4 linked regions of the Tamandua tetradactyla genome follow. The protein of the gene in region 2 purifies or fractionates together with the protein of the main gene of each other region. This does not show direct contact. Links are inferred from orthologs where the notes say so. Each region holds a gene or a part of one and is shown on either strand. Other genes may lie near its edges. The genes, in order: USP12, PHLPP1, WDR20 and USP46.

Region 1 (7,246 bases), on a different chromosome or scaffold from region 2:
ACTATCAGTCACACAATTAGCACTTTTCTACTTTAGAGTTGTTTGGGTATAGTGTCTTCTTTTTTCAACTAGGTGGTGAGGTTTTTGAATACAAGAACTTTTGTCCTAAGGTTCTACCACAAAGCTTGTAGGGTAGGAGGAGCCCAACAGATATTTATTGAAGGAGTAAATGCAATTCCGATACAAATTTCTGAGTAATAAGAGATCAGAGGGATCATGCTTATGCTAAAGGACACAGTGTGTCCCCACATTACTACTCTATCCCACTCCTTCTCTACACAGAAGAAAAGAGTGGGTGGCGCAAGCAGTTGGAAAGGAGTCCCCTTCTCCAGCCAAGCTCAGCCACTTTTGAACAGGATCAAAACAGTTGAAATGATTGTGTTATCCTCACCAGCGTGTTGTTAGTCTCCTCTAGTGGGACCCACATTAACGAGGACCCAAGTACACAGAGAAAGTATTCTGGCTTACTTTATACTCAGCAGGAAGCAGGCTGTCTCCTATTGCAGACCTGTTATTATTTTGATGTCTCCTTGAAATTTGCTTATTCTTGGAAATTTGCTCATTCTCCTTGAAATCTGCAGGACTGGGATTCCATATGGACTGTCGTGTGGAGCAGGTTTTAAGGTAGGCTGATTCTGCCACTTATTATGGATGGGTATGACGGCAGAAGTCCCAGAGAGGGTCACTGTGGGTTGGATTGTCCCCTGGACATTTCGTACTCTTCTCCACAAACCCCCTGCAACACGCCCCATAGATACCTTCCACAGGTTTCGGGGCTTTCCCTCTGCCTAGAAAACCACCAGCCTTCCCCATCCCTCCCCATTGCTCAACCTAATCTTCTAGATTGTGAAGCACCCCCCACCCCCAGCTCACCCCTCCTGGGGGAAGAGCTGAACACACTCTCTTGGAGCTGATACCACTTGGTCCTTCATTCTCTCATCTCGTTTACCGTAATAGTCATCTGCCTATGCCAATGGACTTTGTGCTTCCTGAGGGCAGAGACTTCTCTAATGCACTATTAGATGATCAATAAATGTTTATTGTAAATTATGAGCACACATTTCAGTTTTTTTAAAAACATTTTTTTTGTGTGAAATATAACATATATAAAAAAACAATAAATGTCAAAGTACATTGTAACAAGTAATGATAGAACAGATTTCAGACTTTGGTATGGGTTACTGTACCACAATTTTAGGTTTTTCCTTCTATGTGCTCCAAGACTTTGGAGACTAAAATATCGATAAAATAATTCAGCAGTCATACTCATCTGTTAAATGCTATCTTCTCTGTTATAATTCCTCCTTCTCCTTTGATCTTTCTCCCAATCTTTAGGGGTATTTGGACTATGCCCATTCTAACGTTTTCATGTTGGAAAGGGTTGTCGACAATATGGGATAGGGGGATGGAATTAGTTGATGTTCTAGAGAGGCTGGGCCCCCTGCGTTTCAAGACTTATCTGTCCTAGGAACCCATCTGGAGGTTGTAGGTTTCTGGAAAGTAATCCTAGTGCATGGAACTTTTGTAGAATCTCAGAAAGAGCCATAGGGGTTCTTTAGGGTTGGTAGGGATGGTGTTGGTTGGGGTTTGGCAAACTATGGCAGTTAGCAGTATCTAGCTGACACTTGCATAATAGTAGCCTCCAGAATAGCCTCTTGACTCTATTTAAAGAATATCATCTAATTTCTAAACCTCTGAGAGTAAATTGTAAACATCATACCCCACAACTACCCTACTCAATACTTTCATGTATATTTCCTAAGAAGAAGTATAGACCATCACTGGGATTTTTTTTTTTTTTTTTTTTGGACATCCTCTGCTTGGAGACCTGGGAGTATTAATCAATACCACTAGGAAAGGTCAATTCATTCCCTGTCTAGAGGCAGGGTAGAGGAGGGGAGACACCTGGATTTTAGATCCAGGGCAAATGGGTGTGGAGAGGGCAGGAGTGCATAAAGGTTTTCAAATGAAAAACTTTGAAATAAAAGCACTGACCAAACAGATTAAGGTTGGCCTTGGTTTGTTCACTTACTTGACCCAGGAGGTATTTGGGGGGTATTTTAATGCTTGTACATTCAGGCAGGCCCAGAAATGGTACAATGAGGCTCTTGGTGAAGCTCAGACAGTTGCAGGTAAAACGTGTTCCACACCCAGTATACTCCTTGCATGCTCTGGGTGCAAGAGTGTGGGGTTCCAGGCAAGTCTTATCCCCAGCTGCATCACACATAATGGAAAATGCTCAGGCACAGCACCAGGCAAAGAAAGGGCTCTCTTCTTATATTTGAGTCTTTCTACTCAGCCTTAAGCTGGGGCGACAAGACATGTTTGTCCTGTCTGTGAATTCAGATGGCTCTCTACTGGACACGACTCCACATGATGCCATCAGAAATCCATTAAGTAGGCCTCGCTATCCTATAAATGTATGCATAGAGCTGGATTGAGTGGCCTCTGTTCCTGTCACGTTGTAGGTTTCAAGGACAAGGAGGCATGGTGGTGGGCGACATCGAAGGAGGAGGAGGTCAAATTCTGGCACATTCGATCTGCTCACTGGGACAAAACAGCAGGTGGAAGGACAGGATGTATAACAGACATTTTACCAAGATGGACAGGGCCCAGCGGCGTGGAAGACGAGGCCCAGGCAGGCCCCTAGGGTCTACGATGTGATGACTCTTGTCCAAACAGTGAGTAGCATAAAGCAAGAAAGAAACCAAGTGGGCGCTGCTTGCGAGTCTAGGCAGGGAAGCTACACACCTGTAAGTATGACCATAAGAAATGGACCTAGCTGCTGGCTTGGTGTCAGGGCAGACAGCCAGGGCCACGGCTTCCATGGAGAACCAGGCTGGCTACTATGGGACATGGCTATATTCAAGCTAATTTCCCCTACACAAGCTTATAATGGGAATCACTATGGAAACAGCACTCATGTAACAGAAATTTATTTCTCACCTACGTTGTGTGTGAATGCTATGTTTTGGTTTGAAATGCTTTTAGCCTATGAGGTGAGGCATACCAGATATTAGAGCTTTGTCTGAATTCCCCCCAGCCCGGCTGAAATGGAAGTTCCCCATCACCACGGATTGCCACTTGAAAAGTACCACAACCTTTCTAATACAATAATTTATAAAGTTCTCACTCGAAGTACTTTCTCATAAAGGAAGACACACAGCTGAGCTGTCTGACTTGAAGCACAGGTGCGACGGTAAATTTTATAAAAATAGTGAAGAGGAAATATCCCACCAGCTAACTGCTGCTTTAGGGCATCTCTCACTCGTGGGATCTAACTTCTGGTTTGGTCGCATCATCTCACTGCTGGGTTGAGGTCTTTCCTTTTATACAGGCCCTGTTGTCTAGTGTAAATATATTTAGATACTGTATTTATAAACACATTTTAAAGGCCAGCCGACAGGCAGAAAGCCAGGGTCCCTTATTACTCATCTTTTCTCTTTCTCTCTGTATTTTTCTTTGCCTTTCATTTTTATTAATTTACTAAAGTTACAGTACTTTCATCCAGATAATTATTCAATAATAAAATAAAACACCCCACAAAAAACCAAATCCCTTGCATTTTGGTATGTGCATGGGATGCTGTATTACTCGGGTTGTCTTGAAAGAAGGGGGTCTCCTCTCACCCCACCCGGAATGGTCGGATCATCGCCTCCGGTTTCGGCAGTGGTGGCTAGCTGGCTTGAGCCCTGGGGACAGGGCTGCGGGTCATGCCCCTTCAGGGTTGACCCTGGTCGCCCCCCGCTCACCCAGCCGCGCCGCGCCGCGCGCACCCCTTGCTGCCACTCTTCTCGGACCGCTGATGGCGGTCTCTAGGACCACGCGGGAAGCGGGGACAGGAGGCGGTGCCCGCCGCCACCCCGTCCCCAGCCGCGCGCGGAGTGAGGCGGACCCGGGAGTCCCGGCTCTAACGCTCTGGGACGGGGGAGGTGGGGCCTCGGCGGGGGGCGGGGCGCGCGCGGGGCGGGCCGGGAGGGAGCGCGGGCCGCGCGGCTGTGGACCGCCGGGCATTAGGGCCGGGGCGGAGCCCGCTCGCCGGGCGCGCAGGGTGGGGTGTGCGGCGGCGGCTTCTCGGGCAGGCGTGGGCCCCGAGGCAGCGGCTGCGCCCTGCGCGGGTGAGAAGCCGGGGCCGGAGGCCGAGGCCGGGAGAGCCCGAGCGCCTGCGGCGGCGGCGGCGGCCCTTCGGCGGCAGAGAGGGCTCGGTCCGGGGGCGCGCGGCGACGGCTCGGGCCCGCCGGGCCTGCGGCGAGAGCGAGCGGCCGGGCTCCCTCCTCCCGCGCCCGCCGCCGCTGTGATTGGGTGGAAGATGGCGCTGGGCGAATGGAAATCCTAATGACAGTCTCCAAATTCGCCTCCATCTGTACCATGGTAGGTGCGGCGCGCGGCGCGGGGGCGGCCCGCGGGGCCTAGTGGCGGGGGTGGCGCGGCCCCGCGGGGCTGTTGGCCCGCGCGGGGCCGGGGGGCTCGCGGCCTCGAGCCGGGGAGAGGAGGGCGCCGGGCGTTGCCGGGGGGCCGAGGCGAGCCGGCCGAGGCGGGTGGGCGGCTGCGGGCTTTCGCCCCCGGCTGGCGTGCGGGAGTCGGGCGGGGACCGGGCGGGAGTCTGGTGGGAGGCGGGTGGGGGGCGCGGGCCCGGGCGGGGGTCGGCGGGGGGACGCGGCGCCAACGGCTCGGTCTCCATTTTAGAGTGGCCGCGCGCGGAGCGGGAACTGTCCCCGGGGCGGGGGGGGCTCCGCCGGCAGGAAGGAGGGTCTCGCGGGGACGGGCAGAGGCTCGGAGTCCTGCCGGGGCGGCGGACGGAAGCCTAGTGCCCACTTCCTCGCCGGGCGGAGTCCTCCGACCCGGCTCTTGGGGGGCAGGGGGTGTGTGAAGGTGGAAACTTTAAATAAGTGCTGCGGACATCTTTGGATTTTCCACTCAGTGTGAGAGCGATGAGCTCTCACGCTCCCAGCCATGTGTCCAGGTGGCGGGCTTGTCCCCTGGAATCCACGCCAATCGTGAAAAGCAGGGTTCGCTTTCCTGTCATTTGTTTAATACACCAGACACATCTGTGTGTGTGTGGCTTGAAGTATTTCTGTGCAGAGACGTCACCGCAAGCGTATTGTATTTGTTTTGTTAGGGCTTTCAGATAGGCTTTAAGGGAGAACCGCTAATGTCCGTTTTAAGTCCCTAATTAAGCAAAAATGTGGGTGTGTTTAAAACTTGGCGTTTTTATGTTTGGCCACCAGGACTACGGTTTCCACATAATGGGACAGAATTTGTGTGATGAGCTCCTTATGAGTTACATCTAGGGATCATAATTCTGAGTCATCCCCGAAAGAAGTTAATTCTTTGTAAAGTGGGCCTAAAGTGGTTATATTATTGAAAATTTCTGAAATCTTTCCTTCTGTTTCAAGTCTCACTAGCCTTTTTTTTTTTATGTGCCTCATTGCATATAGGAAATCCCCAAGCAATCTTCGGATCCAAGGGTGGTTAGTTTTATATATCTTGCTTTAAGGAGTGGAGAATGGGATCGGGAAAAATCTTTAAAAGAAGATTCTAGATTTACTGCACGCTGAGAAACAGTTTTTAAAAATGACTGAAATTAGGTGGACTTAAAATCAACAGAATTAAAGAAATCGTATTGAAGGATGAATCATTGAAGAGTCCATTTACCTAAACGGATGTTTGTATTCTCTCACAATGCACATTTTAGAAAAGCGTTGATATTAAAGAGACTATGTTAAAACAATTTTTGCAGATCTCTTGGGCTAATTATTTTTAGATATGCCAAATGTTATCTTAGTTTCAAAAGGAAGGTGATAATTAAGTCTTTTAAAGTGATAACCTTGCTGTATTGCTGAGCTACACACTTTGTCGGGTCATAGTTCATTGTTAAGGTCTAGGGTTTTGGGAACAGAGGGTGTGTTACTTTATACTGACTAGTCTTCATTCAGTCAAATACAGAATATATTGGGCACCTCCTAAGGGTTAGGCATTGTGCTGAGTGGGTGGGCTACGGCAGCCATAAAGCCCAAGTCCCTGCTTTCCTGGTGCTTATATTCCAGTTCAGGGAGACCAACAGTCTTCAGGTGATCATATTAAAGTAATATATGCTGTAATAAGATTAGGAAAAGGAGGCACAGGGATTTGCCAGCGTCCTGCAGTAAGTGGTATTCTCATCTCTGGAATGTCAGACACTAAAGTGCTTTCTAGGGCTTCCGCCCAGGTCCATTAATTGGAGTGGTGTGTGTGTGTGTGTGTGTTGTTGGCAGATACAGAGACATCTGTTCATGGCCAAATGAGATTGTTCCAAAGTAGTATTGCAGTTGGGTGGGTCTGTATTCGTATCTGATGTGCTCCCGAAATAAAGTGCTAAGTATCTTGAAATAATCTGCAGTCATATTCTTAGTCTACAGAAAACTGCAGTCAATCTTCTGAAAAATACAGCATTGACAGTTGAGATGAGTAAGGATATTTTTCTCTTTTCTTCCCTGTCCTAGTCTGGCTGGGTCCTCGTCTCTTAAGCAGGTGTCCTTGCCCAGCCCCACTCTCTAGCCCCCTCTTACATAATTTCAGAGCATTTTTGTAATCTCAGTAACACTTATCATACTTACTGGTTGTATGTATTTCTTGTCTCCCTGTTAGATTGTGGGACCTGAGGCCAAGGATTATCATTTATTTCTCTCTCCTCAGTATCCAGGCCACTTTGATCTAGAGCACTAACCTCTGCGTACAATAAAAAAAGTTTCCCAGAGTGCATCCTTTCTCCCACCCAAACCTGGGGAAAGGGAGTTTGGTTAAGCACCGGAGAGATGGTGGTGATGGGGGCCAATGTGGAGCCCCTGGGAGGCGAAGGGCTGAACCTAAGGAGGGCACTTCTTGGAAAATTAGCAGCTGTGAAAATAGTAGGATGAATTGGAATTTTATTCTATAAATACCAAAGTATATGTAATTTCTTCTTGGGCAAAGCTGTAATACTGAAATTGGGTTAACTCTGTTAGAAGAAATCTCAGTTATGCCTTATTCTAGGTCACTGTTCTGCATTTACACGTGGACATGAGGCACCTTTGTTTTTCTGAAGTTAGTACTATATAGCTTGATCTAAAGGAATGATTTTTATTTTGATTGCAGTGAATTTGCAAAAGTACCTTTAGAAATGTCTTTTTTTTTAGATTTGTCCACGAAATAATCCATTTGCAGCATCACGTGGTGTTCATTTTGCCTCTGAGGCAGCTTCTGATTTCAGGGTCTGGCATGGAGCGGC
Region 2 (7,858 bases):
AAACAAGAACTAACTATACTGAAGAAGGAGATAGGTTGATTTTTACTGAAGATTTTTTTAAACAATGGTAATGCCTCCATATAAACTTCATTAGGAGAGGCATTTACGCCTGTACTGTTGACAGCTGGTGAACAGTGCCTGCACAAAAAAAGGTCAATAACCACTTGTCCAGAGAATGTCCCAGGTGACTTACATTGTTGTGGGTAAAGACCTCTATTTCCTGGCCTGAAACTTAATAGTTGTGATATATAGAACATCATTCTAATTCTTTGAGGCAGGATGTGAGAATTAAGAAAAAGACCAAGAATTATGGGATAAAAAAGGGTGCCCTAATATCTGAAACACTATTGAGTGTATCAAGTGGACTACCTAAGATGATAGTGGCAAATTAAACTCTTTTTTATAGAGTTCAAATTATAAATTTTATGAGCAAGGGATAAGATTTTGGAGAGACCAGAAGACCTGCAGTCTTCATCCTGCAGGTCAGCAGTGGACATATTAATTCAGTTGGGCCACCTGAGGCCCATCTGCACTAGAGCAGTAATTGAATAAATGGGCCCCTCATGGTAAGAAAGGATGAGTAAAGAGTGAGCAATTTAGGCATGGGACACTAGTAGCTCAAGGGATATAAAAATATGAAATTATAATTAGATCTCTTGTTCATAATATACTAACTAAAAGTATTACATTGTATGGTACACGTTTCTGAGTTTATTTCTGGACACTGCGGAGCCCTTTACAACTGACTAAAACCGTCCAGCTATCAATTCATGTTCCCATTAAAATTCCAACTGCTTATATTAGAAGAAAATAAATCCAAAGATGGTTTACTTTTATTTTAGATCTAAAGATGCACACTGGGACTAGCCTAGATGCAGAATACAGCAAGTCATTTATAAATCACACAGCGTAAAGTAAACAGTGGCAGCAAATTGAAAATTATGTTTTCTTTTTCTAAACATAACTGTGAAAATATTTTAACAAGTTGGCATCGGAGTTTGCAACTTTTATCTGATGTTTCTCTTCAGGATTATCTTGAAGCATTTTAAAATGTGATGTTTGGGAAAGTTCAGCTAGTCAGAAATGTGGTATTAGATTATACATTTGGAACACTTTACAGGAGGCATTCGTGACGTACATGGTTTCAGAACGCTGGCATATTTTCTACTGTATTTAATAGGAGAAGCTGCTATTCCAAGATATTTGCCCTTTAATGAAGTCTTTCTCCTACTCAGAAAAATTGTGTAGTGTGAGTTGGCATATTTGGTCCAGTTAATGTTTGATGATACGAGCACCCTCTAAGTACACGTTTCATTATCATTATCATTTCTGTTATTTTTACAAGGTTCCAGCTAATCTGGTGTTAAGGGGACTGTCTTCCCTTTCGGAATCTCCTTTCATCCCAACGTTCATAACTTTATTGCAACTTTATCGAAGGATTGGGGGTGACATGAGAGAGGAATCATCCCATGAACCCTTGCCCTTCTGCTCTCCACTCCACTCGGATGTTTATTATCCTGGGTTCAATGGAATCTTTCAGGTCACAGACTCAGCATGAAATTGAGTAAAATCGTACTCTCCATTCCTTCACGTTCCCACCCCCCCACTTTTTTTTTTTCCTAAGGGGGAATGCATTTCCTTTTTCTTCATACTGAGATATATTTCCTTTAACCCCAATTTAGTAATCCCTCATACTAAGTTTCTATTGTCTAGGAGTGTATGACTCTCCCAACGCCTCCCTCTCCAATATTTTGAGTTGAGTTCTTTGAGAAATGTTTTTTACTTTCATTTTTTCCGCCTCCACCCCCTTGGAAGGAGGTGCTATGATTAGAAATGCTTTCAAAGGGTAAACGAAATTCCTAGAGTATAAAAAGGCAGAGTTGTGGTGACTGTGTAAAGCTAAATGAAAAGAACCAGAGCTAAAATAAGTAAAATACTACAATTTCTTAGAGCAGATGCTAATGGACATTGGGCCAAGGATGGCAGAATTTATTATTAGAAGAAACTTTTATAGAGCTTGTTAATTAGCTATAGAAATATAACCTAGAAAGTAGATACTATTAGTTAATGACATTTCTTAATATAGGAAAAATTAAAGAGGTTTGTAAGAAATCAACTAAGGAAATAAATATAAACAGAAGATGTAAAGAGTTTGTTTTAGTATGGAAATTTAACATGAGCTTTGTTTGAAAATTTTATTAGTGGATGGCTAAATTGAAATACTAATCTCAATTTCTAGGAAAAATTGTCTTGGGGATATGTAAGACAAAGTATAGATTAGTGTAGTTGAAATTTATCTTCACTCTCCTTCTTTCTCTTTACCTCTTTTCCTTCGTTCAAAGACTGATCCTTCAACAAGTACTCAACTTTTATTCATTCCAGAAAACTTCCTCCAAAATTAGGTCTCCATTTTCTGACTCCCTAGACTAGGTGAGTTCCCCTCTTTTATTTGCATTTCTATGGAACCTTGTATTTTCCCTTCCCCACAACCATCTCAATAATGGAAGGTCTTTCTTTCTAACCTGTAAACAATATGAGGAAAGGGAAAATGCCTGATTTATTCAATGGGTGTAATATAGTGACTGGTACCCAATATATGTGTATAATTGCTAAATTAATTGACCTGAATATTTTTTCTCTGTTGGGAGAATTTGTGTTCTTCCTAATTTTTAAAAACAACTCAGTGCTGTTAACTGGATTTAAATGGAATAAAAATGAGGTTCATGAGTCCAAGGGATGACTTTAAAAATATATATATAGTGGGTGGGCCATGGTGGCTCAGCAGGCAAGAACGCTTACCTGGAATGCCAGAGGACGTGGGTTCAATTCCTGGTGCCTGCCCATGTATAAAATATATATATAGGAAGTCATTTTCAGGAATTTTAAGAATCATTAAGAGAAATATTTATTTTTAGTTATGGTAACTTCGTCCATTTTTCTTTAATGAAACCATGTGGATGAGTTAAGCACAACTTACCTTGCTCTTATCAGTTTCTATTATTTCAATAAGCTTCAGTTGTTCTCTCTCTCTCTCTCTCTCTCTCTCTCTCTCTCTCTCTCCCTCCTCATCCCAAAGTTTAAAGTTTTGAAAGTTAAGGCCGACCCTGGATAGACCTTAGTTGAAAATTTATCAGAAGTTTCATGTGAAAATCCACACTTATAAAACAATCTGGGGGAACGGCAATTCAATTAAAAAGGTTTGGTTTGCTAAATTCTTTTAAATAGTAACCTGCCCTAGTTCACCTTAAATATACATACATATATATATATTTAAATCCTGGGAACACACATTAATAGTTTCTAAAAAAGCCTGCAGATAAGGATTTCATCTAAATAACTGCTGACAATTGGAGCTATTTATGCCAGGTAGGAAATGTGAGGACACTTAAAGGGAGGAATCTTGAGGGCACTAAGGGCAGAAATGCCAGGCTTGCATTTTAGACCATGGCAAAATTTTAAGTGTTGAAAGGTTTTTTCATTCTTTGAATCTTTATTTTCACTAGACCCCTTTAGGATCTGCGTCCAATTGATGTCACATGTACCTGAGCCTGTCTGTCCATCTGTGACTGATAATGAGACACGTTTCTCTCTAAATGCTTGGCAGCTTTGTCAGGATATTCCGCGCATTTGTATTTCACCAAACTGGGTCACACACCACCTTGGAATGTATAGTGGTGCCACTATCTGGAAAACCACCTGCTGACTAGCGGCCAACTTCAAGATGTGACAGAACGGAAAGACTAATATTTTCTGGACACACTGAAATATTTGAGGACACGGTTGAAAACATGTAGAACTTCTGAACCTTCCAAAGTAGGGGCGCATCACAATATTGTTTTAACTGACTAGAAAATGCAGCTACTGCTACATTGTAGAGAAAATATATTTTTTCTCAATGCTGAAATAAAAAAACCCAGGGAAAATATAATAGAGAAAGCACGAAACAGCCCATATTACATCTCACCGTATCTCTCCTCCAACTTCTCTTCTCCTTTTCGCTGCTTTCCGTGCTATTAAGCTACTTCAAATTTCAAGACCAAAGGGAAAACACTCAGATACAGGAGAGGGAAAAGATGGGCTCACGGTCGCGCGATTCCCCCCAAGCACATTAACAACTGTCCAAATTAGGAAAGGGGGTTTGTAAGAGTGAGAACAGCGCGAGGTTGTCGCCGTAGATGGCCAGTTATCCTGTGGCGCGAGGGTCTGTATTGGTATCTACTCATACAATGCCTGGAGGTGAGGACCAGGGACCAAGCTTAGCGTCCCTCAAAACCCTCACTTTCAATTAGCAGGGAAAAGAGAAGTCATATGACGAGCGCCCGATAAAGTACAGTTTATGCACCGCCAAGACAAGCGTTGCACCCGTCCGGAGCTCAACACAAGAGGGCACGATACGCACAGTCCACAGGCAGCGGCCGGCGGCCCGGAGCGGCGGGACCTAAGGCTCGCTGGGGCTTGTAGTGCGGCAGGCTACCGTCGCGCACGCCCGCCAGAGCCGAGGAACTACTACTCCCGAGATGGACCGCGCGCCTCTGGCCTCCCGCCCGCTCGGGGACCTCGGGGAACACTGCCCCCGCCCCGCGCTCGCGTCACTTTTGTTTACCCTGAAGCCCCGCCCCCCACCCCCCTCAGGCTCTCCCCACTCGGCGGGGGAATGCCGTAATGCCCGCAATGCATATTCAGGAGGCCGTCGCGGAGCGCCCTCCCCGTCTGTCTCGCGCCTTCCCTCTCCCCGCGCGTGATTAATATTCAATGAGCCTCGGCGCGCGCTGATTCGCCCGGGTGGGGCGGGGGCGGGGCCGGGCTCGAGAGCCCGCGGCCCCCGCGGGGAGGGCACGCGTGGGGGGGCGGGGCGGTGGCGGCGAGGAGGGCGAGCGGGCGCGCGGGCGCGCGGGATGGAACACCGAGACACCGACGGAATGCTCCGAATTGCCACATAATTCCCTGGAACGGCCGCTCCGAACGCCATTGGCTTCTCCCCTCTCCCCGCGCCGCCGCCGCCGCCCACCTTCGCCTCACCTCCTCCCTCCCCGCCCGCTGCCTCCGGAGCTGGGGGGAAACGCAGCGCCCCACTGCAATGGAGCCCGCCGCCGCGGCCACGGCGCAGCGACTCCCCGAACCCGGCAGGGAGGACAGAGCTCCGGCGGCGGCGGCAACGGCAGCAGCGGCGGCGGCAGCGGCGGCGGCGGCGGCGGCGGCAGCGGCGGCGGCGGCGGCAGCTCTGGCGGCGGCGGCTGGGGGCGGCCGGAGCCCGGAGCCCATGCTGACCCCGGCGGCGCGGAGCGGCGGGAACGGCGGCAGCGGGGCGCGGACAGAGGCCCCCGCTGAGGCGCCGCCGGGGTCGCTGCCCGGCAGAGCTGGAGGCACGAGTCGCAGGAGGAGACGCGGGGCACCCCAGAACCCCGCCGGCGGGGCTGCCCCTGTGCCCGGAGCCGGCGGCGGCGCCAACTCCCTGCTGCTGAGGAGAGGGCGGCTGAAGAGGAATCTGTCCTCGGCCGCTGCCGCCGCGCACTCCCCCGGCGCCGCCGGCCTCGCCGCCTCCTGCTCGGCCTCGGCATCGCTGTGCACCCGGAGCCTGGACAGGAAGACGCTGCTCCTGAAGCACCGGCAGATGATGCAGCTGCAGCCGTCGGACCGGGACTGGGTGAGGCAGCAGCTCCAGCGCGGCTGCGTGCACGTCTTCGAGCGCCACATGGCTTCCACCTACCTGCGCCCGGTGCTCTGCACGCTGGACACCACGGCCGGGGAGGTGGCCGCCCGCCTGCTCCAGCTGGGCCACAAGGGTGGAGGCGGCTTGGTCAAGGTGCTGGGCAGGGGGCCCAGCACTGCCGCCACCCCTGGCCCGGACGCTGGGCCCCTGCCGCTGCGGACCGAGCCGCGGGACTGGGCGCCGCCGCCTGGGAGCAGCTGGCTGGGTGCCGTCGGGGGCCGGCCGCGCTCGCCTCCCGCGGACCTGCCGCTGCCCGGAGGCCCGGGCGGGTGGATGGGCTGCACTGTCCGCGCTGGCCCGGCGCCCTCCGACTCCAGCCCCGGCGACCGGCTCGCGGGGGGCCCTGCTCCCCCTCCCAGCGCCCCCCGGCTTCCGGACGGCGCGGCCGCGGGCCCGGCCTCCGACACCGAGAGCTTCAGCTTGAGTCCCAGCGCCGAGAGCGTGTCGGACCGGCTGGACCCCTACGGCAGCGGCGGTGGCTCCTCGTCGTCGTCGTCGGAGCTCGAGGCAGACCCAACCCCAGCCCCGACGGGGTCTTCGGACCAGTCCCACCTCTCCAGCCACTCCCCAGAGCTGTGCGGCGACCCCCGCGTCCTGCAGCTGTCTCCCGCGGCCTCACCGCCTGCGTCGCGGCCCAAAGCTCCGAAGGGCGTCGACTGTCCGGGTGGTGCAGCCCGCGATGGGCCGCGGGAGGAAAGGGCGGCGGCGGCCGCATCCATCCGCAGTACCTCGTCGACCCCCGGGGAGAACGCGGCGGCCGCGGAGAAGGAGGCTCCACCACCCACCCTGTACGTGCAGCTCCATGGAGAGACCACCCGGCGCCTGGAGGCGGACGAGAAGCCATTGCAGATCCAAAATGACTACCTCTTCCAGCTGGGGTTTGGGGAGCTGTGGAGGGTACAGGAGGAAGGCATGGACTCGGAGATTGGCTGCCTTATCCGCTTCTATGCAGGTAAGGCGCTCACCTGCACTTTGACGTGTGGGGTGTGCACATTTCATGTACCAAGAAATGATTGAAAATTGACATATACTTGCCCAACCCAAGAATAAATGCAGGTCCTCGTGATGCTTTGTTACTCCTTCAAAACTTGCGCGTGCCATCTGCGCAATGCCAAGTTGAGCAGTTTTTTAACCCGTGAATTTTAGTCAGTCTTGAGGGTCAGAGGTTGGAAAGTAATGTGGAGGGGGTGGCAGAATCTCCAGGAAGTACAGGAAGCAGGCAATAGTACTTTTAATAAGTGCTTCCTTCAGGCCTCTGGTCATAGGCATACTGGGTCTGAGGTAGTTTGGCATTACAGATAAACATCAAGTGCACATAATATGGACAGAGAAAATGTTCAACAAAATGCTCTAAAGCACCTCTGCACGCTTTTGTTCACAGTTTACTATTCTAGCTCTAAGTATATATACCAGCAGCAGCAGCTCCGTCCTTGTCACCTGATGCACCTGTTCAGCTCGCTGTTGTGCTTATTTGTTCAGAGTCACAAATACGATCCTTTTTGGTGATACTTGTCAATTTTTGGTTTTCTTTCCGTTTCCTCTGTAAGGTTGATTCTTGCATCAAAATAATGTTACCTGTTTTCTTCCCTAATTTATTTCTTCCGCCATTTATAAAGAGAAGTGGACATTGCGCTATGACTTGCAACACAGATCACAATAAGAAATTAAATGGTTCATGATCTCTTCAGATATGATCTAAAATCTTCCCCATTCTTTTTGCAATCCCAGATCAAATTCTTGACCAAGGATGACTAATGAAATGTTTCTCTTTTTGCTAAATACTTGGATGATGCTACATTAGGGGAGTTCTAGGTCCTGATTGTTGTATTTGAACTTTATATGTTGTTTGCATCCTATCCCTCCTCTGGATTGAAGAATTATGCTCTTAGTGAAAAGGGTTTTTATTTAAAATAGAGTTAAAATCATGGCAAAATTAAAACAGGAGAGAGTTAAATCTTCCCTGCTTTATTATTCTAGAGTGTCGGTGATGGTGGGAAAATAATCATATTTGTAACTATTACTATGTGGCCATATTTTCAAATGTAATGTTTTGTGGTCCACCTTGTGTCCTTGTGGCAGTTTAGTCAGTTTGAATGATATACCAGTAGCATTCCTGTTGGGAAGTTCATCTAAGTTTAATTGAGGTTT
Region 3 (7,916 bases), on a different chromosome or scaffold from region 2:
AATAAAACGAAAACAGAAATAAAAATTATACCTACCATACCCCTTACCCCTCGCTTTCACTGATCACTAGCATTTCAAACTAAATTTATTTTAACATTTGATCCCCCTATTATTTATTTTTATTCCATATATTCTACTCATCTGTTGAAAAGGAGCATCAGACACAAGGTTTTCACAATCACACAGTCACATTGTGAAAGCTGTATCATTATTCAGTCACCATCAAGAAACATGGCTACTGGAACACAGCTCTACATTTTCAGGCAGTTCCCTCCAGCCTCTCCACTACATCTTGAATAACAAGGTGATATCTACTTAATGTGTAAGAGTAACCTCCAGGATAACCTCTCGACTCTGTTTGGAATCTCTCAGCCATTGACACGTAGTCTCATTTCACTCTTCCCCTTTTTGGTTGAGAAGGTTTTCTCAATTCCTTGATGCTGAGTCTCAGCTCATTCTAGGATTTCTGTCCCATGTTGCCAGGAAGGCCCACACCCCCGGGAGTCATGTCTCACGCAGAGGGGGAGGGTAGTGAGATTGCTTGTTGTGTTGGCTGGAGAGAGAGGCCACATCTAAGCAACAAAAGAGGGGGACCAAAGTTTTAAATACCATCTATGTGCTGATGACTGTCAAATATACATCGGCCACTCAGATCTCTCTCCAGACTTGATCATTCAACTGCCTCCTGGCCATTTTCTCTGAATGCCTAATAGACATCCATACCAACATTTTCAAAGTTGAACTCCTGATCCTCCTTTCAAAACTTGCTCCTTTCCAGACTCCCCCCTCTCGATTAGTGATATCTTCATCCTCCAATTGCCTATGCCTACCATGGAGTCGTTCTTGACTCCTCCATTTCTCTTACAAGCCACATCCAATCTGCTGGAAAATCTTACTGGTTTTACTTTCTGAATTTATCAAGGATTTTCTTAAACTCTCAATCTCAATTGCTACCATACCTATCCAAACCACCATCAATTACCTTTGGCCTGGATCATTGCAGTTAGTCTCTTACTAGGCTAGAGGCCAGCCTCAAAGACCTTGCTATTCCTTGAACATTCTTGGCACTCTCCTGCCTTGGAGGCTTTTGCTTGATCTGCTCTTTTCCCAGCTCTTCCCAAGGCCCATTCCTTTGCCTCTTTCAGGTCTTTGGTGAAGGGTTACAGTTTCAGTGAGGCTTATTTTGACCACCATATTTAAAATTGCAAACTACTCAGCACACTCCTAATGCCCCTTACACTGCTCTACTTCTTTTTCCTAGCACTAACCTATATATTTATATTTACTATATATATATATATTTATTTATTTATATATTCCTCAGTCTCCTGTTATCCCCTGCAAGAACAATCTCCATAAGTAAAGGAATTTTTTTATTTATTGATGCATCCCAAAGGCTAGAACATTGTAGCATATTGGAGGCTCTTAAATAAATGTTTGAGGATATGAAAAATTTTAACAAGGTTTCTCTTATCCTTGAGTGTGCTCACAATCTGGCTGATAGGTTGGGTATATGCATTCAAAGACAAATATCAACATAATATATTAGCATATGCTAATAAACACCAAAAGAACATTAGAATGGTAGTCAGCATATTATATAATTGACAATCAAAAACTCAGAGAAATGTCATAGAAATTTAGCCCGGTGATTCTTAACTTTAGGGCGAGATTTTTAACTCTGAAAATCCGATGAAAGCTATACTCTGTTGATTAAGTGAACATATACATATAATTTTGAATACAATTAAAGGTTTAAAACACTTCCTGGAAACAGCCATGGATCCTGAATTGAGAATCCTTGGTTTAAAGTACAGTATATTATATCACCAAGAAGACTTTGGGAAAGGTTTGGTGAGGATGGGCCATAAACTAGTTCTCGAAGAACAGCCTATGAAGAAGTGAAATAGTTAAGAGTGACAGCTTTTAGCTGTTTACAGATTGACAGTAATGAGGATTTATGTGGTAAATAAGGGGTAGGCTGAGATTGCGGGTGGATACTTAAATCCTGTGGATACTGCCAAGTCACTGAAAGTTTTTGGACTTTGTTTAAAGCAGTGTTTTAAGAAAAAGCAGTGCTTTTAAAAATTAATTTCATAGTTGTTTATAGGAGGAAAACTGAAACTAAGGAAATAATTCAGGAAACCATTAGATTCAAGTTTGAGGAAATGGAAAGGGAACTGATAAGATTTACAGACTGATCAGTTTGAGGCACAAATTCATTTAGAAATGCCTGGTTTGTAAATGAAATTCAGAACTATATAACTACATTAGGCCTAGTTATACTGAATCCTTGGGAGTTGGGAAAAGAAAATATAAGAGAGAAGTACTCAGATTATTCAAATGCTTCAATTGGGGGAGGATGGTATAAGAGTAGTTCAGTTGCAGAATTCTTGCCTGCCATGCAGAAGACCCATGCTCAATTCCCAGCTGTGCACTATCCCCCTCTCCAAAAAAAAAATCAACAAATGGTGCTGTAATAACAGGACAGTCACATGGAAAAATAACGAAATGTCACCCCCACCATACAGCATTAAAAAAAAAAATTCCAGATAGGACAACATATTAATATTATTTGAATTTATATGCTGAATAAAACAGTAATAGAATGCTTAAGGTCTATAGGTCTTTTATGTAATTGAATGTTCTGGTTAATCTAAGGCTAATAAAAAATTTGCGTTCAAGCTGCTGCTTGCTGAGTCGTCCCCCCCCCCCCCCCCCCCCCGTTCTAGTTTGCTAGCTGCTGGAATACATTTACCAGAAACAGAACGGCTTTTAAAAAGGGGAATTTAATTAGTAGCTAATGTCCCAATTAAAACAAGTCTATAGAAATGTCCAATCTAAGGCATCCAGGGAAAGATACCTTGTTCAAAAAGGCCGATGAAGTTCAGGGTTTCTCTCTCAAGTGGAAGGGCACATGGCAAGCACAGTCAGAGCTCTCTCTCATCTGGAAAGGCACATGGTGAACAGGGTCAGGGTTCCTCTCTCATCTGGAAGGACACATGGTAAACACAGCTTCATCTGCTAGCTTCTTCTCTCCTGGCTTCCGGTTTCATGAAGCTCCCCGGGAGGCATTTTCCTTTTTCATCTCCAAAGGTTGCTGGATCGTGGACTCTCTGCTTCGTGGTGCTGCAGCATTCTCTGCTCTCTCCGAATCTCTTTCATTCTCCAAAATGTTTCCTCTTTTATAGGACTCCAGAAAATTATCAAGATCCGCCCAAATGGGTGGAGACATGTCATCACCCAATCCAGTTTAACAACCACTCTTGATTAAATCACATCTCCAGGGAGATGATCTGATTACAGTTTCAAACATACAGTATTGAATAGGGATTATTCTGCCTTTATGAAATGGGATTTAGATTAAAACATCCGTTCAAACCAGCACACCCCCCAAAAGCATTGTTATACTTTTAATATATATACCTTTTTCCTTCTCTTGATAACTAGGGAATACAGGTGAATTGGTTATACATGACTGAGGATGTCACTAGTTCTTCAAGGTGATCATTAAAAATACAAAATTTTGATGTAAAACACAATTATAGCAGATTGGGTTAAATCCATGGTATCATAGAACATACCCTGGTATTTTAAAAGATTTCTGATATCTATTTGACTTTTAGAGAAAGGCAGATGCCATGAAAACAACTGTAACAAAATTTTTTACATATTTTAGGGATTTATTAAGTAAATAGATTTTAGTCTAGTGCTTTTTTGCCAACATGCTCAAAGGTGCAGGATGTTAGTGTCAAATTCATTATGAGATCATTGGCAGTTTTTACTTTTCACTTGTTTTGTAATACATAAGATATTTATGATTTAGGCACCCTCACTTTAGAATTTACCTTCCTCAGTTTCTTTTGTGACCCTCTAGCTAGGATTTGAACTTGAAGAAACAGTTCATTCTTGGTGTAATCAATGTTGGCTTTTTTCCTCCAGGAATTATATCAGATTATTTCTGTCACTTAGAACCTTTCTTATTCTACTGCAACATTCCAAGAAATCCAGGTATAAAATGGTGATTGTTTAACCTTAATTTAACACCCATGCAAGTTCCTGCATAACTAGATCTAGTTTATGCATACAACTATACCTATGGATCTCCTAGTATTTTCACTTAAGGCCTTAAAAATAATTCAGTGACTTCTTTTTTTAATTAAGAGCTCTTAATCAACTATTGAGCATAAGTGAATCCTGCAAAGATTCAGCCTCTGGTGCCCAAAGCCATTTCCCGCCCCCCAGTTTTCTCTGAACAACTACTGGTGAAGACAAACTTCAGTTAAGAACCAGAAACGCCAACACGAACTATTCTCCTTAAAATTAGCCACTGCTCACTGCAGAAAGGAATTCAATGCTTGACCTGCAAACACCTATGCCATATGTATTTATACCCCACCCCACCCTCCCAAAAAGATGGTGAAGCATGAAGCTCTAGTCCTTCGGTACCTTCTAGGACCGACTCTAGGAGGTGCCCAGACCTCGGGATAGACATGCGGGTCCGGCTCAGCCCCCCGCGGGCTGGACCGTCCCCGGGCAGCCGAGGGCGGGTCCAGGAGGGGCGCAGCAGCGCCCTCCCAGCGTTGGGGCCCCCTCACGCCAACGCCGGCCGCAGCTGAGGAGGCTCCCCCAAGTTCACCTCAGTACTCCTGACCCCACCCCGGTCGCTGCTTCCCCTTGACGGCTCTCTCCGAACGCAGAGGAGCTCTTTGCGGGTCAGCGGATCGAAACCGTCCCCCACCTGAGTCTTCGCGCACAGCGCGCCAGGTGAGCACGCCTGCGCAGTCGGGTGGTAAGCAAGACCACCCCTTTCCTTCCGCGCGGCTCCGCGGGGCTGCTCGCGGGTGGGAGGGGCTAGACGGAAGAGGCGGGGGGTGGGGGGTGGGGAAGAGCGAGAGCCAGGGACGGCGCCTGCGCGGTGGGCGTGATCCGGGCACTTAGGGCAGGATGAACGCTGCTTTCCAAGATGGCGACGGAGGGAGGAGGGAAGGAGATGAACGAGATTAAGACTCAATTCACCACCCGGGAAGGTCTGTACAAGCTGCTGCCGCACTCGGAGTACAGCCGCCCCAACCGGGTGCCCTTCAACTCGCAGGGATCCAATCCTGTCCGCGTCTCCTTCGTAAACCTCAACGACCAGTCTGGCAACGGCGACCGCCTCTGCTTCAATGTGGGCCGGGAGCTCTACTTCTATATCTACAAGGGGGTCCGCAAGGTACCGACCCGGGCGTCGCCGGGGCTCGCCTGCGGCGTGGGCAGAGGCCGGGAACAAGGCAGTGACAGCGGGGGCCAGGGTGACCGACAGGGGTAGCCTTCGCTCTTACTTTTGAGTGGGCCGGTAACTCCACTGGGGTGTTTCTGAGGAAAGGGGATTCATGAGTAAGGAGGGTAGTGATGGTAGCGTTTCGAAGGGTTCGGGGAGGTGGATAGCGTCCGTGGGATGTGGGGTTCCGGCTGGGAGGCCTCAGAGGAAAGAGCTGCCTCCCTCCAGCAGGTCAGTCAGGCTCTGACATGGCCAGTGAGCGGCCTGCGAGTCCCCGGAAGAGGTAGGGTGGCCGTCTTATTAGCCCAGACCATCTCGCCTGCCCGGAGGTCTGGGAGTCTTGCTCTGGTTTAGGGAACGGGCTCCGGGCTGCTTAGGAAGCTCTGTAAGGCGGAGTTGGGATTGGGAACCGGAGACTGAGACTAGGTCAGAAAGGACCTGCTCGGCACGAAGGGCTACTCCACCTGCTGCCGCACTGACACTTCCTCAGAGCCTCTCCTTGTGGTTTTAACACATCTATTTCCAAAAACATCTGATGGAGGAGGCTGTCATTGTCTCCTCCGAGGAAGCCTTTTTCTGAGAGATTATTAAAGAGGATTATTTTACAGTTGGGAGATCGAAATGATGTTTCCAACCAAGTAAACTGGTTCACAGGGGTTCTGTGTGAGCGTGCTCAGATTAATCTTGTCCAACAAGTCAGACTATGTCCCAAACAGGGAGGGATATGGCTTAAAAGCTACTTGACAGGAACTACCCTTCTTGGCGGGTAATTTAACAGTAATTCTGTGAAGCATGTAACCATCCTTTAAAATATCTCTTTAAAAGCAGCAGTTCATTAGAGCTAGTCCCCTCACCCCCCCCCCCCGCCCGCATTAGATATACAACTGTGTTCTCACTGAGAACTGCTTACTTTTGAGATTATGGTCTCCGATTTGACTCGGAAGAGTGAGGAAATTAATGCACTCCACAGTACCTCGGTTTGAGAAAAGGTGATACAAGATTAATTTACAAGTGTTCGGTTAGAATGAAAATATTTGGTGCATATTGAAGACTGAACATTCTTTAGGATTCAGTATTTCCAGATCCAGTACAGAATTTTTATTTGGTTATGAGAACTAGGGAAGTGACAATGTTAACTAAATGTATCAAGTTTTCTCGTTCTTTTCAAGGTGAATCTTCTTTGTTAGCGTTTGTCGTTTGTCATAATAAGTGTATTATTGTGTTTAGAGTATGCCATTGGTAGTTACAGGAAATAAATCATTTGACCTTTTTTCCCCTTTGGGAATTGGGAAGGGGGTGAAGTGTTTAGTAGTCTTGGAGATGAAATTTTAGTCTTAGTCCCTACTTTGTAACTGACTTATTGGACAAGTTATTTAACGTCTATCTTCTCCTTTTTGAAAGGAGCATGTGGAAGTGTATATGTTGTAATTGATAATATAATAATTGTGATGAACTTTAAAGCCCTGAAATACTTAGTAGATGCAAAATATAGTTAAAATAAGCATTTAGAGTAACTGTCAAACAGGAGGCTGCCATCTTGACATTCGCATTAGGCCTGTTTTCTTTGGAAATATGTTTAGATTTTAAGTTATTAAAATTTATTTATATAAAATTTATATTTATATGCAAAGTGCTTAAAAACTTAAATTCACTAGCAATAGCAATCACTAATATAGGCATTACCCTTTTAAAACATTTTCTTTTAAAACTTTATCTTTTTATATATATTTTTTGTTTTTGAGGCATTCTAATGGCAAGCCTTATGTGAATATTAGTCCTGGTTTGCATCATAAAACAGGGCTCTTGCCTGAAAGTATGGTTAGAACAGTGTTCTCTTTTAGTGGGACACTTTATTCCCTGAAGGGTAAAACTAAGAGCTTTTCAAAACAATATCCCCCCAGAAAAAGATCTTATGACAACTCCTAAGCATTTAAATTACCTTTACCTGCATAATTTATTTGAGCATTTTAACTTCATTTTTGTAAAATTTCATTTTCATGTGGCGTTGTCTTTTAAATATATTTGCAGTAAGTAGTGGACATTTCAGTTCTCTCCTAGGTGTTGTAATTTTGTTTTGTTTTTGTTTTCCATGAATGACTTTGCATTCAGTTATTTTTTAGTGTAAATGATTGTTTTTGTGATTTTCTTTTTATTTTCTGATTTTAAAACAGAGCAAATAACTTATCCTTAAAAAAAACAAGAGTTATTTTTTAGTGTTAGGAGTTGTAAATTTTGGGTTTTTTTTTTCATTAAAAAAAAAATTTTTATTAATAAAACCAATCAACATACAATATGAATATTCTTTTTTATCACATAGTTGTATATTCATCATCATGATCATTTCTTAGAACATTTGCATCAATTCAGAAAAAGAAATAAAAAGAAAACAGAAAAATATTCATACATACCATACCCCTTGCCCCTCCCTTTCATTGATCACTAGCATTTCAATCTACTAAATTTATTTTAACATTTGTTCTCCCTATTATTTATTTTTAATCTATGTTTTACTCATCTGTCAATAAAGTAGATAAAAGGAGCAACAGACACAAGGTTTTCACAATCACACAGTCACGTTGAGAAAGCTTTATCATACAGTCATCTTCAAGAAACATGGCTACTGGAACACGGCTCTATGTTTCCCTCCAGCCTC
Region 4 (7,079 bases), on a different chromosome or scaffold from region 2:
TCACCTTGTGCCTTCCCATGTGATATAGAATCCCAGATGAAAGTTAGCTGCTGTGCTGGCTTGAAAGGATTATGTACTCTAGAACAGCCATGTTTTAATCATGAACCTATCTTGTGGGAGCAACCATTTATTTTAATCCCTATTCAGCACTATAGGTTGGAAAAGTTGATTATATTATCTCTATGGAGATTGTGGGGGTTAACCTTTGATTAGAGGGAGATGTGATGCCACCCATTCCAGGTGGATCTTGATTGGTTTACTGGAATCCTTTGAAAGAGGAATCATTTTGGAGAAAGCATCAGAGTCACTAGAGAGAAGAGCCACAAGAACCACTAGTGCCCATGAAGCCAGAGACCTTTGAAGATGAAGGAATATGCCCTTGGAGGAGCATCAAGAAACCAGAAGCTTGGAGAGAGAGTTAGCAGACATTGCCATGTTTGCCATGTGCCTTTCCAGTTGAGAAAGAAACCATGAATGTCATTGGTCTTGAACCATGGTATCATTCCCTGATAGCTCAGATTAGACATTTTTATAGCCTTGCTTTAATTTGGACACTTTCACAGCCTTAGAACTATAAACTAGCAACTTAATAAATTCTCCTTTTTAAAAGTCATTCCATTTCTGGTCTATCACATTCTCTGAAATCTTTCAGCCACTGAAACTGTATTTTGTCTCATTTCTCTCTTCTCCCTTTTGGTCAACAAGGCTTTCACAATCCCATGATGCCAGGTCCTGGCTCATCCCTGAGAGTCATATGCCATGTTACCAGGGAGATTTACACCCCTGGGAGTCATGTCCCATGTAGGATTAAGGGCAGTGCGTTCACCTACTGAGTTGGTTTAGAGAGAGAGGCCACATCTGAGCAACAAAAGTTCTCTGGGGGCAACTCTTACGCATAATCATAAGTAGGTTTAGCTTCTTCGCTAAGTTTCATAAGGGCAAACCCCAAGACTGAGGGGTCAGCATGTTGAATTGATTGTCCCGTGTTTGTGAGAATATCAGGAATTCCCCAGTTGGGAAAGCTTAGCATTTCCACCTTTCTCCCCTAGTCCCTCAAGGGGACTTTGCAAATACTTTTTTATTCTCTGCCCAAATTACTCTGGAATGTAGTAGGGTATCACACTAACCTGTACAAACAAGAAGATCTCACTTCCTATTCAAGGTTCCATGTAACTATGGTGTTAAAGTAAACTGACCCTACAAGTTAAATTAGATACTGTACAACCCAAAATATAAATTTTGCACCAAATAAACATTCCTTCCTTGGTTTCACATAAAGTTGAAGTTTTAAAATAGTATCATTCTTTACTCTGTATTCTGATTTAACTTAGTCCCATCCAGATCAGCTTCATTCATACCCATAGCCGAAGTCTGATCACTTTTTCAACTTTTTCAATAGTTGCTGACTTTCATAGCTTCAGAGCTCTAACACTATCTCATGTGTCATATAAATACTTGAAGGTCCAGGGAATGACCAGGCTATACACAGACAGCTCAGCATCTCAGAATTTAGAAATAACAGTTACAACTCTGGACTAGATATGACTGCTCCAAGAGCTTACCATCTAGGACCCTTTACAAAAGGACCCAGCCTGAGAACACATGCTCTCTGGGTCTGTATTTTTAACAAGTGCCCAGGTGATTTGTTAGCCGATGGACCACACTTTGCACACCAAGGAGATGGAAAGATTTCTTCCTTCAAACCTATTTAGGCTGTTTAAGCAAGCCTTTAACTCATCACTCCATCTGCCTGCTTTTCTCAGTCCTCACTCTACTGGTCCCTGTAAGGAACACTTTCCTCAAAGTTCTCTCATTAGCTTGTCAACATTTCAAAAGTTTACCTCTTATCACCTCCAAATAATGTTTACTCAACTGAGTAGAGCTGACATGATGATTATTCAGCCCAAGTCTCTTCAAATTTAAACCTGTGAACACCAACCTTGTAGTAGTGTAAAAATGTATTATTATTTATGAGTCTGACAAGATCTGCTGTGTGCAACTTATTAGTTGTGTATGTAATTCACTGCCTGATTTCAATCTGGATGTTTGTCCATATTTGAACACCTCAGTCTTAGGCTGTTAAAAAGACTTTTAACTTGCTAATATAGCACTCAGCAATGAGTGTTTTCAATCCTGTGAACTCTAAATCCATCATGCCAACGTCAGAAGATGGTATACATTTTCCATATCATGTAAGGCTTTGGATTAACATCTTTATAGTTGAACATCTGTGCAATTGAGTACTGAGGCCTGAGTTTCAGCCTGAAGTTGCTCCTGAACTTGTTTTATGACTTTCCTCAGAGCTTTAAAACATCCTGGACATCAGTTACACAATTGCCCATAGTCTGAGTGTCTTGCTTGTCTTCCCCTCCTCCTCCAATTTTCTTCAGCCAAATGAGCACACCAGCTTCTTCTGGAATTTGGGTAATAAGCTCTGGGTAGGATACTTGATCCTCTAAGTCTAATTCACTCGCCTGCAAAAAAGAGATAATAGCATCGACATCAAACACCTGATAGCTATTGTGCCAATGAAGGTGATCATGAATATAAAGCACCGTGACTGACAATAGTAAAAAAGCAAAGTTAACTATAACCATTGGCATTCTCAGGATCCATTTGGAAACAAGATTAAGGTAGAATGATATAAAATAAGCAGTAACTTTTTTCCTTAAATCCGTTGAAAATTATGTTCCCTCAAAATTTCAGTCAGCAGATGAATTTATCTTCTTTTATTTCCACCCTAGTTCCTGGGGATATTAGACATCATCTTCTTTCAAATCTTATGTGCATAACACTAAATAGATAATGGAAGATAAGGGTGGCATTTTCCTAGCACCCTGGTTAGATAAAAAGCTTTTTTCAATTATAATAATTCCTCTTCTAACTTAACTTACTAAATACATTTATTGGTTTAAGAATTCATTACGCGTTTAACATGCAAGAACTTCTTTTTGAAAGCATGCTTTGTATGGAAATAGGCTCCTTCAGTTCACCGAAACCTGTATCTGCTAAGGGGTGTACAGATTCGCGCTTTGAGCCAGTAGCCACGACCTCTATGGAGGAAATGAATATAATACGCTGGTACAGCATCCCTCTTAAAAAATAAAAAAGTTGGGTGCCCCTGGGAGAGTATGTTTTTCTTGAAATGCGAAAAAAGTTTTGTTTTTGCACTTTTCGGATTCAAATAGCTCCTTTGACAGTCCTTGCCCAGAACCGGGACTTTTCCTTTGTACCTGCTAATGTCACAAATTGGCTGAGTGCACCGTTGCTGGCCTCTGCTCAGATTCACTTTCCTGTCCCCTCCCAGCGCCCTTTACCAGGCTGCCGGTTCGCTGCCGGCCAGGGATTTCTGACCACTCCCTGATCCTGACCCCATTTTACTTTTGGGGTCCTCACCGGTACCATGCGGCGGAACCAAGGGAAGAAACGAAAAGCTAGATATAGTCACCCTGCCCCGCGCCAAAAATAAAACCCCAGGGTTGATGGCGTGGGGGAAGGGGAGCGGCGCAGGGAGGAAAAGGAAAAGCAGAAAAATCCAACACGGAAAACCGCCCCTTGTCCCTAGCGGCCCTTTCCGCGGAGGCCGGAGCCGGCGCCCGCCGTAGGCTCGGCCCCTTCCGCCCACCCCGTGAACGCCAGGCGCTGTCCCTCCTTCCCCGGCGGCGCCGGCCGAAGTTGATCTTTCAGTGTTGCCAAAGGCCCAGCGGTGGACCGAGGGGACCGCTGCTGCCGTGCCGGGGTCTGCTCCGGGGTGCAGGGCCTGGTCCTGCATTACTGCCCAAATAGTGAAGCAGGAAATAAAGGGGAAAAGAGCGAGCCCCGGCGGTGCGGGGCAGGGGCGGGCGGGCCACGGAAGGAGGAGCGGAGGCGCAGCGGCCGCGCAGGGGCCGCGCTGGGGCCGGGCCCGGGGCAGGGCGCACGGCTGGAGTGCTCGGAGGAGCCGGCGCGGACTCCACGCGGCGCGCTCGGGCCGCCCCTCTCTCCGCGCCGCCGGCCTCGGCCCAGGTTCCCCAGCTCCGCCACTCCCCGCCCCTCCGCTCCCCCTCCCCCTCCCCCGTCCTCCCCGCCTTCCCCGCCCTCCCGGCTGCCTCCTCCTCCTCCTCCCTCCCGGCCGCCCTCTCCCAGCCAAACTGAAAGCCGGACCCCAAGCCTGCTCGCCGCCGCCGCCCCGTCCTCCCGGCGACCGCTCCACCATGGACATTCCTGTTTTCACCTTATAAAGATGGCGGTGCGGGATCGCTGCAACCTTTAGACTAATGACTGTCCGAAACATCGCCTCCATCTGTAATATGGTGAGTAGTCGCCGCCTCGGGGGTCGCGCCCGAGGCGCGGAGAGGCGAAGAAAGGGAAACCCGAGCCGCACACACGCCCTGCGCGAAGGGGAGGGGTGGGCGGCGGGGTTGGGGTTCGAGGGGGCGGCAGCGCAGGCCGCCTCCGGAGGGGTTCGCCCCACCGTGCGGCTGGAAGTTGTCGGCCCCGGAGCTGGGCGGGCCGGCTGCAGCCCGGTGGAGCAGCCGTGGGAGGGGCCCGAGCCCCCCCCCCCCCTGCGCCCCTCTCTCAAACCCCGGACCCGGGAGCGGGCCCGCGTGTCCCCGGCCGGCACCGCCGTTCCCCGCCCTCGGGTTGCGGTGGAAGCGGCTTGGGGGGAAAGGGGAGGCCGAACCCTGGACGTCCCGGAGGAGGGGATTGGGGGATAAGGTGGGGGTGGGTTAGGGGGCACCCTCCTTTCCTTGCGATATAAATCAAGCCCTGCAAGGCTCTCTGACCGCTCCCTTCTCATTTTCGGTGCATTTACTTTGCAAGGGCGATCCATGTGTCTGGAAAAATTCGAAATGTAATAAAGCTGTAAAAAAGAAAAAAAAGTGTAAAATTGTGGTGAGAGGAATGAAGTTCTACCTGATTGGGAAAAGCCAGGTTGTTTGCTGTGGATATCCCAGTTTCCCCATCTCTGAAAGAGGCACAAGGTTATCTGGCAGTAATATTCGGAGGCCCTCAAGGTGGGGCTGGCAGTGGTCGTGGCGCTCCACTGTAGAGGAGGTGGATGGGCATGGGCACAGCAAGGGGACATCACTTGGTCTCTGATGGAGTCAGGGTCCATGATGCAGTGGCCACTTCAACTTGTTCCTCCCACTGCTTTCCCTTCCTTTTCATTTTCTGCACGAACTGCTTCCTGCCTTTAGGTCCCCAGAGTGCATTCTGCTGGTGCCCCTACTTGTTGGAGCCTTGGGGAACCCAGGTTGCCCTTAGAAGTGAGACATCACTTTCCTTTGCAGGAGGAAGGATGTGTGCTTTGCCTTCACTATGGAGGTTTCCCTACCCAACCCTGACCCCAATCCTCTCCCTCCACCCTCCTCCAGAGCTGGGACACATGCTTTTTTAAACCAGTTTTGGGAAAACCTCCCTTGAAGCTAGTAATAGAGGTCCCTAAAGGGAATCTGAGGTGCTTGGTTGAGAAGCCTTGGGGAAAGGTGATCTGGCTGCCCTCCCCCCATCACACAGCATTTTAATCTTCTGTCTCACATTCTGTTGCAAGATAAACACATGGCAAAGGAGCATTAAGGAACCGTGTGTTAGCTCAGGGGTGGAGTTGAGTCCCACTGATGCCGCTTCAGTTTTCAGCATTGTAGGGCCATTCCTGGAAGCAGATGCCAGGCTTCCCAGAGTGAGGCTGCAAAGGTGTTGATGCAGGGAGAGTTAGATGTAGTGGGTGGCTCCTGGAGCCTTTGCATTTGCTCTATCTTCCTTTCCCATGGGAAGACAGCTGGCCTGCTCCTTTTTGAGTGGCTTTAATGTTACTTGGTGTAGTGAAAAGGTGATGCCTTTCTCTCAAATTCTTTCTCTGCTACAACCAGCTCCTGAGGGGAACCATGAAACCAGAACAGTTGAATACTTTCTTTCATGCTTGCTGGGGTGGCCTCAGGCCTACAGGGGTGTCAGGCACAGTCCCAGCCCTTGGTGTGGTTCCTGTTCTGCCTGTGCTGGGGTGACACCTCTGCACTGAAGCAGGATGGAAACTGGAAAGCTATCATGACTCAAGAGGACAGCAGCCTCTAGCTCTTTCTTTTGTCCTTAGTGCAGCTGGGGGCTTCTTGGCAGACCTGGGCAGAAGGTCACAACCTGCTTCCAGTGAAGCTCAAGGCTGAAAGCCCCAGCCAGGGAGAAAGCTGTGGGAGGACACAAGAGGAGCAGCAGGCCAGGTACTGTTGTAGGCTCAGAATTTGTCCAGGGACTTGACATCTGATGTGAAGGTAAAAAGGTAGCAAATTTAGGATCATCACCAAGTGATGAACAGTTTGGGCTCGGAAGTCAGACTTGCTTCAAGTCCTGCTTCTACACATAGTAGGTTTGTATCCTTGAACAAGTTACTCTCTATCTTACTTTCCTTATCTATAAAATGGGAATGATAATGATTCTTACCTCATAGAACTATTGTATTACATAAGTTTTTTTTTTTTTTTGAGGTGGGTGGGTACAGGGCCTAACACAAAGCAAGTGCTCAGTGTTTAGCTGTTATTGTCAAAGTCATCTTCCTCATTATTATCTTGCCTTCTGATTATCTAAGGGACAGTGATTATGTCTTCTTTTCTGAAGGAAGCAGCTACTAATACAAACAACCTTTCAGCTTGGTTTATGCAAACCAAGCTGAAAGGCAGCTTAGAGAAAGGGCTGGGTGAGAATCCTTAACTCCGCCCCTTTTCAAACACTGCTCAGGTCACTCCTGCCCCACCCAGTCTCACTTACCAGAGGAGAAAACTTGGTAAAGAGACTGCTGCCTTCACCTGATCAGACGTAAATTTTCATTGGACCCCACTTTAGGTTCTTCACTCCATGATGAATTGTTTCCAGGTAGGACTTTTATGGGTCTCTCCTTACTGTTTAGCACCTTTTTGAGGCTCTTAATGTCCCTCCCCATTCTTTATTTCATTTGGTCCCAGCTAATTTGAATCCTTGTAGTAAAATCAAGTGGAGATTGCATTTTCTTTTAAGTAGGTCATTTGGAGTATTTTAAACATGCTGATGTGCATCCTGGAAGGGTGTTCAAAAACGCTACCATTCTGAGCGAGACTTGAACAAACCAA

Evidence for each region.
Region 1: the proteins of PHLPP1 (region 2) and USP12 purify together in Homo sapiens (affinity purification with mass spectrometry; 4 studies listed by BioGRID and IntAct, with this or other methods). This does not show direct contact. The link is inferred for Tamandua tetradactyla from reciprocal best matches to the Homo sapiens genes PHLPP1 and USP12.
Region 3: the proteins of PHLPP1 (region 2) and WDR20 purify together in Homo sapiens (affinity purification with mass spectrometry; 4 studies listed by BioGRID and IntAct, with this or other methods). This does not show direct contact. The link is inferred for Tamandua tetradactyla from reciprocal best matches to the Homo sapiens genes PHLPP1 and WDR20.
Region 4: the proteins of PHLPP1 (region 2) and USP46 purify together in Homo sapiens (affinity purification with mass spectrometry; 7 studies listed by BioGRID and IntAct, counting the BioPlex papers as one, with this or other methods). This does not show direct contact. The link is inferred for Tamandua tetradactyla from reciprocal best matches to the Homo sapiens genes PHLPP1 and USP46.

What each region holds. Positions count from the first base shown.
Region 1 is NC_135330.1:192,409,166-192,416,411, reverse strand, and holds the start of USP12 (ubiquitin carboxyl-terminal hydrolase 12), read left to right. Parts: upstream 1-4,235; 5' UTR 4,236-4,323; coding exon 4,324-4,371; intron 4,372-4,466; exon of another isoform or gene 4,467-4,538; intron 4,539-5,438; exon of another isoform or gene 5,439-7,246. UniProt on the Homo sapiens protein: Deubiquitinating enzyme that plays various roles in the regulation of the immune response and inflammation.
Region 2 is NC_135344.1:19,506,901-19,514,758, reverse strand, and holds the start of PHLPP1 (PH domain leucine-rich repeat-containing protein phosphatase 1), read left to right. Parts: upstream 1-4,858; 5' UTR 4,859-5,077; coding exon 5,078-6,662; intron 6,663-7,858. UniProt on the Homo sapiens protein: Protein phosphatase involved in regulation of Akt and PKC signaling.
Region 3 is NC_135338.1:63,627,512-63,635,427, forward strand, and holds the start of WDR20 (WD repeat-containing protein 20), read left to right. Parts: upstream 1-4,904; 5' UTR 4,905-4,966; coding exon 4,967-5,215; intron 5,216-7,916. UniProt on the Homo sapiens protein: Regulator of deubiquitinating complexes. Activates deubiquitinating activity of complexes containing USP12. Anchors at the base of the ubiquitin-contacting loop of USP12 and remotely modulates the catalytic center of the enzyme.
Region 4 is NC_135345.1:52,904,439-52,911,517, reverse strand, and holds the start of USP46 (ubiquitin carboxyl-terminal hydrolase 46), read left to right. Parts: upstream 1-4,078; 5' UTR 4,079-4,256; coding exon 4,257-4,292; intron 4,293-4,737; exon of another isoform or gene 4,738-6,828; coding exon of another isoform or gene 6,829-6,846; intron 6,847-7,079. UniProt on the Homo sapiens protein: Deubiquitinating enzyme that plays a role in behavior, possibly by regulating GABA action. May act by mediating the deubiquitination of GAD1/GAD67.